Saccharomyces cerevisiae S288C: one gene and its partners. The gene in region 1 interacts genetically with each later gene. Each region holds a gene or a part of one and is shown in the gene's direction. Other genes may lie near its edges. The genes, in order: SMA1, GRC3, YGR050C and DAL2.

Evidence for each region.
Region 2: mutations in SMA1 (region 1) and GRC3 together harm fitness more than expected from each alone (negative genetic interaction), as found in Saccharomyces cerevisiae (one large-scale study listed by BioGRID).
Region 3: mutations in SMA1 (region 1) and YGR050C together harm fitness more than expected from each alone (negative genetic interaction), as found in Saccharomyces cerevisiae (one large-scale study listed by BioGRID).
Region 4: mutations in SMA1 (region 1) and DAL2 together harm fitness more than expected from each alone (negative genetic interaction), as found in Saccharomyces cerevisiae (one large-scale study listed by BioGRID).

What each region holds. Positions count from the first base shown.
Region 1 is NC_001148.4:498,042-501,176, forward strand, and holds SMA1 (Sma1p), read left to right. Parts: upstream 1-1,623; coding exon 1,624-2,361; downstream 2,362-3,135. Other genes in the region: ERG10 (acetyl-CoA C-acetyltransferase), read left to right, coding at 55-1,251; putative serine/threonine protein kinase SKS1, read right to left, coding at 2,634-3,135. UniProt on the Saccharomyces cerevisiae protein: Involved in spore and ascus formation. Required for the efficient assembly of the precursors of the prospore membrane to a continuous prospore membrane.
Region 2 is NC_001144.5:66,789-71,321, forward strand, and holds GRC3 (polynucleotide 5'-hydroxyl-kinase), read left to right. Parts: upstream 1-1,791; coding exon 1,792-3,690; downstream 3,691-4,533. Other genes in the region: E3 ubiquitin-protein ligase PRP19, read right to left, coding at 1-1,468; putative AAA family ATPase RIX7, read right to left, coding at 3,845-4,533. UniProt on the Saccharomyces cerevisiae protein: Polynucleotide 5'-kinase involved in rRNA processing. Required for the efficient termination by RNA polymerase I and the processing of the IST2 pre-rRNA internal transcribed spacer localized between the 5.8S and 25S rRNAs.
Region 3 is NC_001139.9:591,390-594,316, reverse strand, and holds YGR050C (uncharacterized protein), read left to right. Parts: upstream 1-1,874; coding exon 1,875-2,231; downstream 2,232-2,927. Other genes in the region: protein kinase FMP48, read right to left, coding at 1-721; SCM4 (Scm4p), read right to left, coding at 2,440-2,927.
Region 4 is NC_001141.2:408,503-412,339, forward strand, and holds DAL2 (allantoicase), read left to right. Parts: upstream 1-2,304; coding exon 2,305-3,336; downstream 3,337-3,837. Other genes in the region: DAL4 (allantoin permease), read left to right, coding at 1-1,873; DCG1 (Dcg1p), read right to left, coding at 3,534-3,837. UniProt on the Saccharomyces cerevisiae protein: Utilization of purines as secondary nitrogen sources, when primary sources are limiting.

The sequences.
Region 1 (3,135 bases):
AGCCTAAAACAAGCGCCATATCATATATATTTATACAGATTAGACGTACTCAAAATGTCTCAGAACGTTTACATTGTATCGACTGCCAGAACCCCAATTGGTTCATTCCAGGGTTCTCTATCCTCCAAGACAGCAGTGGAATTGGGTGCTGTTGCTTTAAAAGGCGCCTTGGCTAAGGTTCCAGAATTGGATGCATCCAAGGATTTTGACGAAATTATTTTTGGTAACGTTCTTTCTGCCAATTTGGGCCAAGCTCCGGCCAGACAAGTTGCTTTGGCTGCCGGTTTGAGTAATCATATCGTTGCAAGCACAGTTAACAAGGTCTGTGCATCCGCTATGAAGGCAATCATTTTGGGTGCTCAATCCATCAAATGTGGTAATGCTGATGTTGTCGTAGCTGGTGGTTGTGAATCTATGACTAACGCACCATACTACATGCCAGCAGCCCGTGCGGGTGCCAAATTTGGCCAAACTGTTCTTGTTGATGGTGTCGAAAGAGATGGGTTGAACGATGCGTACGATGGTCTAGCCATGGGTGTACACGCAGAAAAGTGTGCCCGTGATTGGGATATTACTAGAGAACAACAAGACAATTTTGCCATCGAATCCTACCAAAAATCTCAAAAATCTCAAAAGGAAGGTAAATTCGACAATGAAATTGTACCTGTTACCATTAAGGGATTTAGAGGTAAGCCTGATACTCAAGTCACGAAGGACGAGGAACCTGCTAGATTACACGTTGAAAAATTGAGATCTGCAAGGACTGTTTTCCAAAAAGAAAACGGTACTGTTACTGCCGCTAACGCTTCTCCAATCAACGATGGTGCTGCAGCCGTCATCTTGGTTTCCGAAAAAGTTTTGAAGGAAAAGAATTTGAAGCCTTTGGCTATTATCAAAGGTTGGGGTGAGGCCGCTCATCAACCAGCTGATTTTACATGGGCTCCATCTCTTGCAGTTCCAAAGGCTTTGAAACATGCTGGCATCGAAGACATCAATTCTGTTGATTACTTTGAATTCAATGAAGCCTTTTCGGTTGTCGGTTTGGTGAACACTAAGATTTTGAAGCTAGACCCATCTAAGGTTAATGTATATGGTGGTGCTGTTGCTCTAGGTCACCCATTGGGTTGTTCTGGTGCTAGAGTGGTTGTTACACTGCTATCCATCTTACAGCAAGAAGGAGGTAAGATCGGTGTTGCCGCCATTTGTAATGGTGGTGGTGGTGCTTCCTCTATTGTCATTGAAAAGATATGATTACGTTCTGCGATTTTCTCATGATCTTTTTCATAAAATACATAAATATATAAATGGCTTTATGTATAACAGGCATAATTTAAAGTTTTATTTGCGATTCATCGTTTTTCAGGTACTCAAACGCTGAGGTGTGCCTTTTGACTTACTTTTCCGCCTTGGCAAGCTGGCCGGGTGATACTTGCACAAGTTCCACTAATTACTGACATTTGTGGTATTAACTCGTTTGACTGCTCTACAATTGTAGGATGTTAATCAATGTCTTGGCTGCCTTCATTCTCTTCAGGCTCTATTAATTTTAACCGTTATAAGTTCCTTTTCTCCCTTGGAAGCAAACATCAACTGCCTTAAAATCTGGTGGCGAGGAAAGAGGAAATGGCATGTACTAATGATGGTCCTAATAAATATCCCGAAATTGTGAGTGTTAAGCACCTGTTCCAACATTCGGGATCCAAGCATGAATTTAGTGCTGGTAAACGATTTTCAAAATCCATTGGTAAAATATTCAAACGAAACTCTGCTTTGAAAACTTCTAGAACTGAAACGGCAAATCATAAAATGGAATTGAAAAAAAGAGAGGGTGTTACCTTATTGCCACCTGTCCCAGAATCATTATTACATAAACTCAATTCTTGGTTGGAAACTTTTTCTTCCACCAAGAACATGAAAATCGAAGAAAACAAAATTGTTATTAATGAAAAAGAGATTCGGGATTCAGTCTCTTACTACCCTGATAAGAATGGAGGAAGTGCTGTATTTTGTTACTTGCCCGACCTTGTGCTATATTATAAGCCGCCTATAAAAGTCACAGGCAAGCAATGTCCAATAAAGAGAAGTCCTTGGGAATCGATGGAAATCCAATATCAAAAGTTTATGTACCCCTTAGAAAGGTTGGAAAGACAGTTTGAGGAAGTTCCATTTAGGCCCTGGTATTTTGCAATGCGATTAAAGGAACTTTACAGATGCTGTGAAAGGTCTTTTACTAACGCGGCAAATAGAGGAAAGGCAAGGTTATTGCGGGGGAAGCAAAGGACGAAAAAATCGTATCATAAGACTGTCAACCTGGTATCAGCGAAGATTTCCACCCATTCAAATGCGCCGTCGCCGGGCTGAGAAACAAAAAAAGTGACTAAGTTCTGTCATTCTATCATTATTGTAATTAGTTATGTAGGACATATATATCCATAGTGATCTCCTTTTGATCAAAGAAGACACTGAAAAGTCGTAAGTTCGTAAAAAAAGTATGAAAATCGTTCCAGCCATTGCTTATAGCCATCCTAGTAGGATACTAGAAAAAAAACAAACCTCAAAGATAAAAAGAAAAGGTGAAGCTATTACCGAATTAGAACATAAGATAATACAGTGAGTATAAAGGTGAGACCTGCTCAATAATCTGGTAACCATTTCTCGTTTGGACCGTCTGTTAAAGTAGAAAAATTCATTTGTAAGCATAATAGCCTATTTCTTAATGTATCTTGTTGGAATTTGCAATCTTTGGAAGCACTAACGTCATCGATATCAGATTGGTAAGGTGTACTGTCCATTGAGGAAGTTAAAAAGGTACTATTATTGTGGTTGTTAGTGTATTCATACTTTTCCATACTTCCGTCACTATTATACGTTGATGGAATATCACTCTCCGGTTCAGCATCTTCCTCTTCTTGCTGCTGTTGTGCTTGTTCCTGGTTTTGTATTTGTTCTTGTTTTTGTTCCTGTTCTTGTTCTTGGACTTGCTGTTGTTGTTGTTGCTGTTGTTGTTGTTGTTCTTGGTCTGCAGAAAAATGTGATAAATCGCTCAAAAATAGGTTTTCATTCCTTATAATATGCGTCATGTAAACTTCGCTCGATAGGATTGGAACTTGAGACAAGGGCCCTTCCCTGGTGAAA
Region 2 (4,533 bases), on another chromosome or scaffold:
GAATAGCGGCAATACCACCATCTCCGCATACCACGTCCATATCAGTGAAATCGGCAGTGTCGCTTTGCAAACAGAGGGCGCTCTCCTCGTCTTTAGTCCAATTTTTTGTTTTCTTGTCAAATTTGTATATCGTCAGCGAATTGCTCTCGTTTGAGTATGCAATCATATTCTTTCCAGAGTCGTCAATGTCATAGGTAACGGTGCCCGTCTTGAATTCTGGGATTGTGTAAGTTGGATACGCTAGCGTGCCGACATCCTTTCTTAGGTCAAAGCAAACCACAGTTTGGTCACACTCTACTACCATCCAGTACCCATTGTCTGCAAATTTAACCTCTTTTATCTTGGCTTCTTCATCTACGGGGAATCTAGAGCTTGCCTGGTCAGGTGATGACAAGTTGTAAACGTCTAATATACCGTCCGGAGAGTAAAGGGCTAATAATAATGAATCCTTATGTAGGACACCGCTGCTGTACTCAACATCTGATTTAGCAGAATGAACAATATACTGGGAATCATCCTCGTAGGATTGAAATCCTATGGTTCCTCTATTATCCGCCCAGATGAAGTACTCTGTGTTGACCTCGTTGTGACCATACATATATATAATCTCATTGGCGGAATCTACCTCTATTTCTCTGAGGACTTTGTTTGTTTTTGAGTCCAATATAGTTATTTGGTTACCTGGATATAGTAGTAGCAAACGATTACAAGGCCCTCTGGAAATAATAGCTGGATGCTCTCCCCCGGTACGGGGATTTGGTGTAGTTATTGTGGTAATCGTTTTCGAATCTTTTAATTGGGTAAAATGTAAAGCACCATCCTCACAGCGACACATGCACACCCATTTATCATAGTACATAGATTTGTTAAGCTCTTTATATGGGAATGTTTTGATGTTACGGGAGTAATTTTGTGCCTGTAATAGCTCCAAATTTTTTAAAATCGGCCATTTGGGTGCTTTGAGCTTGCCCCTCGCTACAAAGTCTCTAGAAGATTGTAACAGCCCTTGTAAAAATTCTTCTCTCGTAATAGCTACCGCTTGCTGTGAGGATTTGGGTAAATCCTTCGAATCTTCGTTTTTTTCCATCAATAGTTGCGCAGCGACCAACTTTGCAGCATCTCTTTCGTACATTACAGTCGACAGTTTTTTCGTTAAACTATCTAGAGTTGATCGTAACTTAAAGTTTTCGAGCATTATAGCATCCCATTCATTCTGTAAACTTGTCAACAGATTCGGAATCGAATAATTCGCTTTTAACGTAGCAGAGTTTGTAGACTCTGTTAGTGAGGCTTGTTGCGCACTAGGTACGATTTCCACTATTTCTTCGATGCTTAAGGGCTCATTTGTTATCGGATCATTCCCCGTATCTTTAACATACTGTTCAAGGAGCGACTTTTCAAAAATAGTCCTGGATTTAGGTGATAGAACTGGCCTTCTAGGAACTTTCCCACTAATAGCACAAAGCATTGTTCCCTAGTTGGCTTTCTTGGCTATGTTTTGGTCTTTAATATTTCTTGGAAAGTTTGCATCTTTCTAAAATTGCCCTTACGAATTTTTCACCGCTGCTACCCGAAAAAGTACGAAATTTATCAACATGAAATTTATTCCTGCCAAGTCATCGAGTGCTCTGCGCCTAAGGCTTAGGTTGCATTTAAGTTGTCTTAATTCACGCTTATAGTGCAGGTAGTATAGGTTCCCCACTCCTGATCTTTCCCTTCTGAAATAAGGAAAGACTGCAGTTTAGTTTGGCAGAGAGAAGAAGATAATCATTTCTATTATATTCTACCGCTATGGTGATAGATTCCAAACAGGATCTACCTCAATATACCAAAGATTCAGGTTCAGAATCGGACTCAGACTCAAGTAATAATTTCATTGTGGAATCTCCGTCAATTCCATCTTCAAAAAGTGCAACCGTAGTTCTCAATAGTGAAGAGTATGAGGACGACGAAGGTGATGACTTGAACGGGCTGGATGCTGAATTGATCGATAATATAACGTATGAAGGAGATGAAGATGAAACTATGTTTGTGGGGTTGAAAGAAAAACAGAAGTTACATTTATCTGGTGTTTTCCGGCTGCAAGTGGTGAAAGGAGGTATTGTCTACAACAATGTACACTATAACGCTTCGAGAGAAATTTTAACCTTCTGGCACCCGTTATCACAGTCCATACCTACTATAGATTTTTCGCACTTTGCAGGCTGGCAAGACACTTTTTTTATGCCGAGAAACAACAGGTTTAAAATTAGAGATGAAGAATTCAAATCATTTCCATGTGTTCTTCGCGTTTTTAATTCTAATCATACGGGCTTGTTAGAAGCAGGTCATTTATATCGGGATGTTAATTATCTATGGAAACCTAAAGAACCTTACTTTCCATTAAACGAGAGAACAACGTATCATTTATTACATGAGTCAGACCGAATTCAATCTTTATCCGTGCCGGGATATTGGTCAACTCCGTTAGAGAAGTTATATTTGAGTCACAAGAACGCTGCGTATGATACAAGAATCATGGTGATTGGTGGTAAAAACTCTGGGAAGTCTACATTCTTGAGGCTTTTATTGGAAAAATTTACGCAAGATATACGAGATTCTACTACGAGCCAGGAAGAATTGGTATACCTGGATTTAGATCCTGGTCAACCTGAATACTCACTACCTGATTCAATATCCCTGAATAAGATTCTTTCCAGCCCTATTTCTCTCGGACAACATCTCTGCCAAGGTTCAAATTTCCAAACTTTGTTACAGTTCTACGCTGGCTCCTCTTCCCCGCAGGACGAGCCCACATCATACCTGAACTGCGCTGATAAACTTATAGACCATTTGGAAGAGCAAGCCTTCTTCGGAACGTCATTGCTTAATCTACCTGGGTGGATAAAAGGATTCGGGATGCAGATTTTAAATCATATAATAAGGAAATATAAGCCCACTCACTTATTGTTTTTGGAAACAGCTAATTCGAAAAGACACCTGGATGAACTAACAATTCCACAGAGTTTTTCCACATCACTACGAGATGCATATGCACCTGAAGTTGTTCGCGTTCCAGCCCATAGTCTGAACCACACCTTATCTTCTAGGTTCCATGCATCACAACTGAGAACATTCAAAATACTGGCACTGTTTCATAAAATAACTCAATTTGATTATGATTTTGCGCCTCTTTTAAAATCTGCACCTTTGCAAATTTCATATGGCAAAGGTAAAAGCGGTATTAAAGGCATTCAATTTCCTATGGAATTCCAGGATCTGAATCCTCAAGATATCAAGTCCGCATTGGAAGGTACTGTCATTGGGATATATACATATTCTGGAGAAGACTCACTAGAGGTGAAATCCTTGAATACCTTTCCCATCCTACAATCGTGTACTTCTTCTTCTAAAAATTTCATAACTCTGGGGCTGATACACTCTATTGACACCTCCCAGCAAATAATGAACATTTACGTGCCACCTTGCCATACCCAGATTTTAGATAAACAACCTGAGGATGCTCAATGGATAATAGTAAGAAATAAGACGGAAACTCCTTTTTGTGACTTTCTTCCATCCCCCCGCACAATTACATGGGATGATAATATACAAATACCGTTCGCAACTTTTGAAAGAAGGAAAAAATTGGAACATGTGTGGAAAGTTCGTAAGAACGTCATGAGACGTGGCCAATTCATGAAAAGATAGAAAGAAAAGGTAATCGTACATTTTTTAATAGTGAAAGATAGAGGATACACAAAAATCATGCAAAGTTTTATATATTTGTTATGTATACTCATATTCCTTCAATATCTAAGTCATACTAACTTCTAGGGACTTTACCAAAATATTATTTATAAATTTATTGTTTCATTTCTTCCGCATCCTTCATCTCCTCCGTTAAACCCATTTTCTTATTTAATCTATCATATTTCAGTCTATCTTTATCGCTCACAGAGGGTTTAATCTTTCTTAATGCACTTCGGAAGTCAGACATGGTCACAATAATTTCTTCGCCAGATACGCCAACCGATAGATCCTCAAATTCCTTGTCTAAGTCATTATCAAGAACAGATTGTATTTCTTCGCTCTGAAAAAACTTCCTTTTTAGAGCCAAGACTGAACTCTCCCTGACTAAAGCAGCCAAGTCAGCGCCTGAAAAATTGTTGCACTTCTCATTTCTGATAATTTCTTCAAAATCAACATCGCTACTCAGAGGTGTTCCGTGTGATTTGGTCAAAGTTTTGATAATATCTAGTTTTTCCTCAGTATTAGGTAACTCAATAAACAAACTCTTATCCAATCTGCCCGGTCTTAACATAGCAGGATCAATCATATCAGGTCTATTAGTGGCGCCAATCACAAAAATTCCCCTTCTATCGTTCAGCCCATCTAATTCCGTTAACAAAGTGTTGACGACTCTTGAGGAGGATTCGGACAAAGAAGTATCTCTTCTTGGCACCAAAGCGTCCAGTTCATCAAAAAATATAACACACGGTACAGACGCCCTTGCTCTAGTAAAAACTTGTCTGATGGACCTTTCTGATTCAC
Region 3 (2,927 bases), on another chromosome or scaffold:
TTTCAAACTCATCGAAATTTTTTAGATGCTGAACCTTCTTTGATTTGGAGACTCTAAAAAGGCAATCGCCGAACATCAGATAAAATATGGTGGCACCCAATGACCAATAGTCAGCTTGGTATGTGTTATACAATGGAGCCGATGACCGATCGAAATTCTTCTTAAAACAAGAGTTACTAACGCGGCCAGAGAAAGTTTCTGGCGCCCTGTAATTATCGGTACCAATCTGGAAGTCGTTAGATTTAGGGGATTGGATAGCGTGACCCCAGTCTGCCAACTTGATGTCACCATTTATCGTTAGCAAAATATTTTCTGGTTTGATATCACGATGAGCAATACCCAAGCTGTGAGCAAAGCTGATTGCTGAGCACAGTTGTTTGATTATCTTTTGCATATCAATTTGAATCAAAGATGGAGACGACGGGCTACCTTGACTCTTAGCAATATCTAGAAAGTCATAAAGATCACCACATTCGCAGTATTCTAGCACCATGATGTAGTACGAGTCATCCGTGTAAAAGTCGAGCATCGAACAGATGTTGGGGTGAGGATTACAAGAACTCAAAATCTTCATTACATCATACTCGTTCTTCATGTTGGCTTCTGAAGTTTTGTATTTAGGAGTAATCTTTAAAGCGACGTAGCGGTTATGTGTAGTACTCCATGCTTTATAAACTGTGCTAAATGTTCCTGATTGTATAGATCTTAGTTTTGTATACATTTTTGCTTTTTATTATTCGGTATATGCTGATAATGATGTGCTTATTTAAATGATTGCGTATACGAGTGAGAATTTGATTCGGAGGGTATGAGAGTCGATCTTGAGTCCTATGTTATATGCTTTTTGTCAGTAACGGGTTATTTAATGCTAAGAATAGTTATTATAAAAGGGAAATTTTTTTGTATTAAGAATAGTCATCACTTACATGTGTATATTATATATATATATATATATGTATTGTACTCGTATTATTATTCTTTGGGGAAAGTATTAGTAGGTAGATGCAACTAAGCTCCGATTTTTCCAAAATTAAGTTGTCCCTTATTGCATGGTCCCCTTAATTATCCTTCCTTTATTGTATGTAACATGAAGCTGCATTTTTGTTCTCAGGCAGCATCATCGTTCCCTTCACCTAACCCTTCTAACTTCCTTTTACCTGTTGCAAGCTGTCTCATACCCGCGCTGAAAAGGCTGAGAACTGGGTATTGTCCCAATATTACGCTCGGCTTTTCTTTTCAAAAACTTTGTATTCCAGATACTTCCATGTGCAATTTCCCTAGTGCTCCCTGTACCAAGCCATCGGAGAGGAGATGCCTTCTAGAATTCAAAGCACGTAAGGGGTACAAAAATCGGAACGGGCCGAAGGCCGAAAAGAGACGGCCGTACGTGAGAGCACATGCAAAGTGGTGAACGGGACGTTACGGAGAATTACGGAACCTCTCAACAGAAGATGCGCCAATAGTCCTTCCGAACTAGCTCCACGGGAGGGGTATGAAGAGCAAGCTTGTTTACGCAGCCTCACCACCGCACCGAAAGACCCTCACGACAGAAATGGAGCGCCTTTAATGACGTTCGTCCGCTGCGGGCCAGAACAGCACAGTTTTGCTTCCCCGTTTCTTTTCCACTATTTCGTCACCCGCTCGAGGTGGCTCGCCCGCTCGGAGGCAAGCTGCACATTCATCGAACACGGAGAGGCACGGGCGAGAGAAAAAAAAGCCTATTGACCTAAACGGATGTCATAATGAAAAGAAGGAATCCGGTTTTCCTGGGCATGACTAAGGTAGCACGACTCAACTGGGCCAGATCGGTTGCTTCTTCCGATATACATGCATTAGATTAAGCCAAAGTAAAATCAAAAGAAAATTTAGCGGATATGAAAACCAATCTAATCTCCTCGTTTGCTTTCCGACCGCATGTAAGGTTCGGCTTTCTTGACTTCGGATATAGCTTAAAGTCGATTCTTGACGTCACTTCGCAATATCATTTCATTCCCATTAAACTGGCGTATGGACTTTGCGATCCTTTATTAATAGTTTATCCGGATCCCAGTTTTAGTTTGGCTCAAGCTGCAGGTGAAAAGAAAAAAGTCGTATTCCCTACGTATGAAGATGTTCCGAAACTACTGTTGACGTTTAAGCAGATTATGAATACGTATAGGAAGGGAAGTTTGGGACAGAGACAGAGACAGAGAGTGTACGGGCGAAATGGGAATGAATCACATTCTACGTAATTTGTCTTTGACTTTCTTAGAGATACGTATATAACTTTTTTTTCTGTGTGAAAAATAAATATTCTCTTATCCAATGTGGACAAGAGCCAAAAATACTCTGCTTTGTATATTTACTAGTTTTTTTGGCCTTTTTTTTCGCTAAACATATATATTAGTCTCGCTTAAATAATTGTGATGTTTGAAGGGAACGTGTCACGTGCTTCGTCGTTCATGCTTTGAATCCATCTAGGATACACTTACCAAAGGTAAAAATTGTTATACCGGTTACAATGCTCATGTGCAATGACATGTATGAGTGACATTTTACGCTTCTTTCGGATTCAGGTTTTAATGTTTTGGCGTTGTTCATCTTTGAGAATGGGCATGCAGCTTCCCCATCTTTGACTTCCGGGTGATGTTGGGGTAATTTTTCATCCTTTTGCTTTTCTAAATCATTTTGGTCACGTGTGCATTTTGGGGCTAGCTTGTGATTGAACAGTGATACTAAGTATAGGTAGGCTGCAGATAATGGGGCGACACCAAGTCCGCACAAAAGGTAGTTTGGTCTTTCTCCTGGTGCAGCTAGATAGTAGCTGAGTCCAAAGGCACCAGTAGCTAAACCACCTAAAACGGTGCTCCAGCATCCTAATGTGCACAAAACATTCTTCAAATGTTGAGTTAGAACATTTATTGGGGTGGTAATAGAAATCACGGTAG
Region 4 (3,837 bases), on another chromosome or scaffold:
TCCTTCGAGGAAAGGTGTCCAACCCTCCACATCTATTGTGTCATATACAAACAATGAAGATGATATTATAGATGTGGAAAATGGGAAGTTCAACAAGAACAAGAATATCAACACTAATGTGTATGTGGACAACTCCTCAATAGAGGAGAGCGAAGTCGTGCCCTTGCCCGAAACAAAGTCCATCTGGAGTAAAATATACTACGATTTCATTGTGTTAGACAAGACAACTTTGAATGTTTCGTTGAAAGAGTCGTTCTTGTATAACAGAGACTTGAAACCGGTTGAAGAAGAAAGAAGGTGTTGGTCCTGGTTCAATTACTTATATTTCTGGCTGGCAGACTGTTTCAATATTAACACATGGCAAATAGCTGGTACAGGTCTACAACTAGGTCTGAATTGGTGGCAATGTTGGCTTACAGTTTGGATCGGCTACACTTTTGCAGGTATCTTCGTAGTATTGAACTCGAGATTTGGTTCCGCATATCACTTATCTTTCCCTATTACTGTTAGGGCCTCATTTGGTATATTCTTTTCTATGTGGCCGATTATAAATCGTGTCGTGATGGCTATAGTATGGTATGCCGTGCAAGCCTGGTTAGGTGCAACGCCCGTGGCACTGATGCTAAAATCTATTTTTGGCAAGAATCTGGAAGATAGAATCCCAAACCATTTTGGTTCTCCAAATAGCACTACTTTTGAATTCATGTGTTTCTTTATATTTTGGGTGGTCAGTATACCATTTGTCCTAGTGGCTCCTCATAAAATCAGGCATTTATTCACAGTAAAAGCAGCTTTGATCCCCTTCGCAGCCTTTGGATTTTTAATCTGGGCTTTGAAGAAATCGCACGGTAAAATTGAGTTGGGGACGCTGAATGATTATTCACCTCATGGTTCCGAATTTTCATGGATATTCGTTAGATCCCTAATGGCCTGTGTTGCTAACTTTGCCGCTTTGATTATCAACGCCCCTGACTTCGGTAGATTTGCCAAAAATCCTCAAGCGTCTTTGTGGCCACAATTGGTTGCCATCCCATTGTTCTTCGCCATAACATGTTTGATCGGTATCATTGTTACTGCGGCCGGTTATCACTTATATGGGGTTAACTATTGGTCACCACTGGATGTACTTGGTCAATTTTTGGAGACCACTTACACCAGAGGTACTAGGGCTGGTGTGTTCTTGATTTCTTTTGTATTTGCCTTAGCTCAACTGGGTACAAACATTTCTGCCAACTCTCTGGCATGTGGTGCTGATATGACGGCTTTGTTTCCAAGATATATTAATATTAGAAGAGGTTCTTTATTCTGTGTGGCAATGGCTCTATGTATCTGTCCATGGAACTTAATGGCCAGTTCAAGTAAGTTCACCAGCGCTTTGGGTGCTTATGCAATTTTCCTTTCCAGTATTGCTGGTGTCATTTGCGCGGATTATTTCGTAGTAAGAAGAGGATATGTGAAATTAACACATTTATTCCTGGCACAGAAGGGTTCCTTTTACATGTTTGGAAACAAATTTGGTGCCAATTGGAGGGCCTTTGTTGCGTATATTTGCGGTATCGCTCCAAATTTACCAGGTTTTATAGGTGATGTTGGAGCTCCAAAAATTACGGTTTCAGAGGGTGCAATGAGGTTATACTATTTAGGTTATCCGGTAGGTTTCTTTATTAGTGCGGTGATATACCTCATATTATGTTACTTTTTTCCTGTCCCTGGTACTCCCGTAACCAATTTTCTGACAGAGAAAGGATGGTTCCAAAGATGGGCTTATGTTGAGGACTTCGAGCAAGATTGGAAGAATGAGTTACGTAGGGATGACCTCTGCGATGACACAGTCAGTATCTATGATGGCACCGAGGAAAAGATAGTTTACTAAATAAAAATCCCAATTTATTCTCTTACCAGTAGTGATCAGGAGAATTGATAATTTCTTCAAAACACCTTAATATTCGTTCTGTGTATTTTTATGTACCTTTCTTAATCAAATTTATCAGCTTCATACATGCATTCCCGTCTGAATAATGTACTGATGATTAGCTAAACCGTCATCAACCTACCAAACTTGCGCTTGTTTGAGCCTATCAGAACTCCGGATAATTCCGACATCTTATCTTTGACTCGAATTAGCGATAAGATAAAAACACAGGAACCACAATGAAATTCAGCTGGAAGAAAAGTCTAAATTATAGACACATTTTCTGAGATCAAATGCTATAAAGGAATGGAAGTGCATTTTGCTATGATATGGGGAAATTATGAAGCCGATCAAACAATTAATTGTATCTAATCGGTCTCTTCTTTAGAAAAATGAAGTTTTTTAGTTTGGCAGATGAGGCAGAATTTAAGTCAATAATCATTTCAAAAAACAAAGCAGTAGATGTTATAGGATCTAAGTTAGGTGGTCAAGTGGTTTCTTTTTCAGATGAATGGTTTGCTTCTGCTGAAAATTTAATTCAGCCAACTGCTCCTATAAGGGATCCTACCAGATTTGTTCATTCAGGCGCATGGTACGACGGCTGGGAAACACGAAGACATAATGAGATGGAATACGATTGGGTTATCATCAAGATGGGAGTCGCTGCTGCCCATATTATTGGTGGTGAAATTGACACTGCGTTTTTCAATGGTAATCATGCACCATTTGTATCAATAGAGGCGCTCTATGACGAGGGCGAAGAAGGTAATATAGTGGAAGATGACTCGCGTTGGGTTGAGATTGTTGAGAAATTTGAGTGTGGTCCTTCGCAAAGGCATCTTTTCGTTAGAGGCAACGGCCTTACTAAAGAAAGGTTTACTCACATCAAGCTGAAGATGTACCCCGATGGAGGAATCGCCAGATTTAGATTATACGGAAGAGTTGTTCCTCCAGAACTCAAAACGAAGGATCATATAATTGACTTGGCTTATGTTTGCAATGGTGCTGTCGCTTTAAAGTATTCTGACCAACACTTCGGTTCAGTTGATAATTTGCTACTGCCAGGTCGAGGTCATGATATGTCGGACGGCTGGGAAACCAAAAGATCGAGACAACCAGGTCATACTGATTGGGCGGTAATTCAACTGGGCAGGGAGTCTTCTTTCATTGAGAAGATTATTGTTGATACGGCACACTTCAGGGGGAACTTCCCTCAGTTCATTACCGTGGAAGGTTGCTTGAAGGAGTCAGAATCAAGTGAGAACACTGGTGAAGGAACATGGGTAGAGCTAGTTGGTAAGTCAAAGACGGGGCCTGACAAAGAACATGTGTATGAAATACGTAAGAGTATAAGAGTCTCCCATGTCAAATTAACGATTATTCCAGATGGAGGAGTGAAAAGAATAAGAGTTTGGGGGTACTGATAAATACTTAACTACTGTATATTTTAAACCAATGCACTCTTGGCACTTTAAAAGTAAAGGTATAAATGTAGTTAAAAGTTTTTGTTTTGATAATTGAATGTTTTCATTTCGCTATCCCCACGCTACTTTATTTACTTCTTCTTCTTCACGACAAAACATTAAAATTTACACTCTATAAAAAACAATCATATTTCTATTTATTTTTGTGAGTTGACAAATCTTATCATAGTGATTAGAATCTGTAAACCGATCTCAATCGTGTCCAGAAACAGCGTGCCATCCCTTTGGAATGTTTTCGCCAGTTTATTTTGCAAACCCGAGAATCCTGCACAACCTAATATTACAATGTCTGAATCAAGCTTTTTAATATTTTCGCGATATATAATTTCTGCTATCTGCTGGAAATTTTCTGGACTATGTAGGTCGAGGACCTGTAAATCAGTAGATACCGTACCTTTCCATAAATTTTTGTTAACTGTATTCCCTGTCAAGAATTTCGAT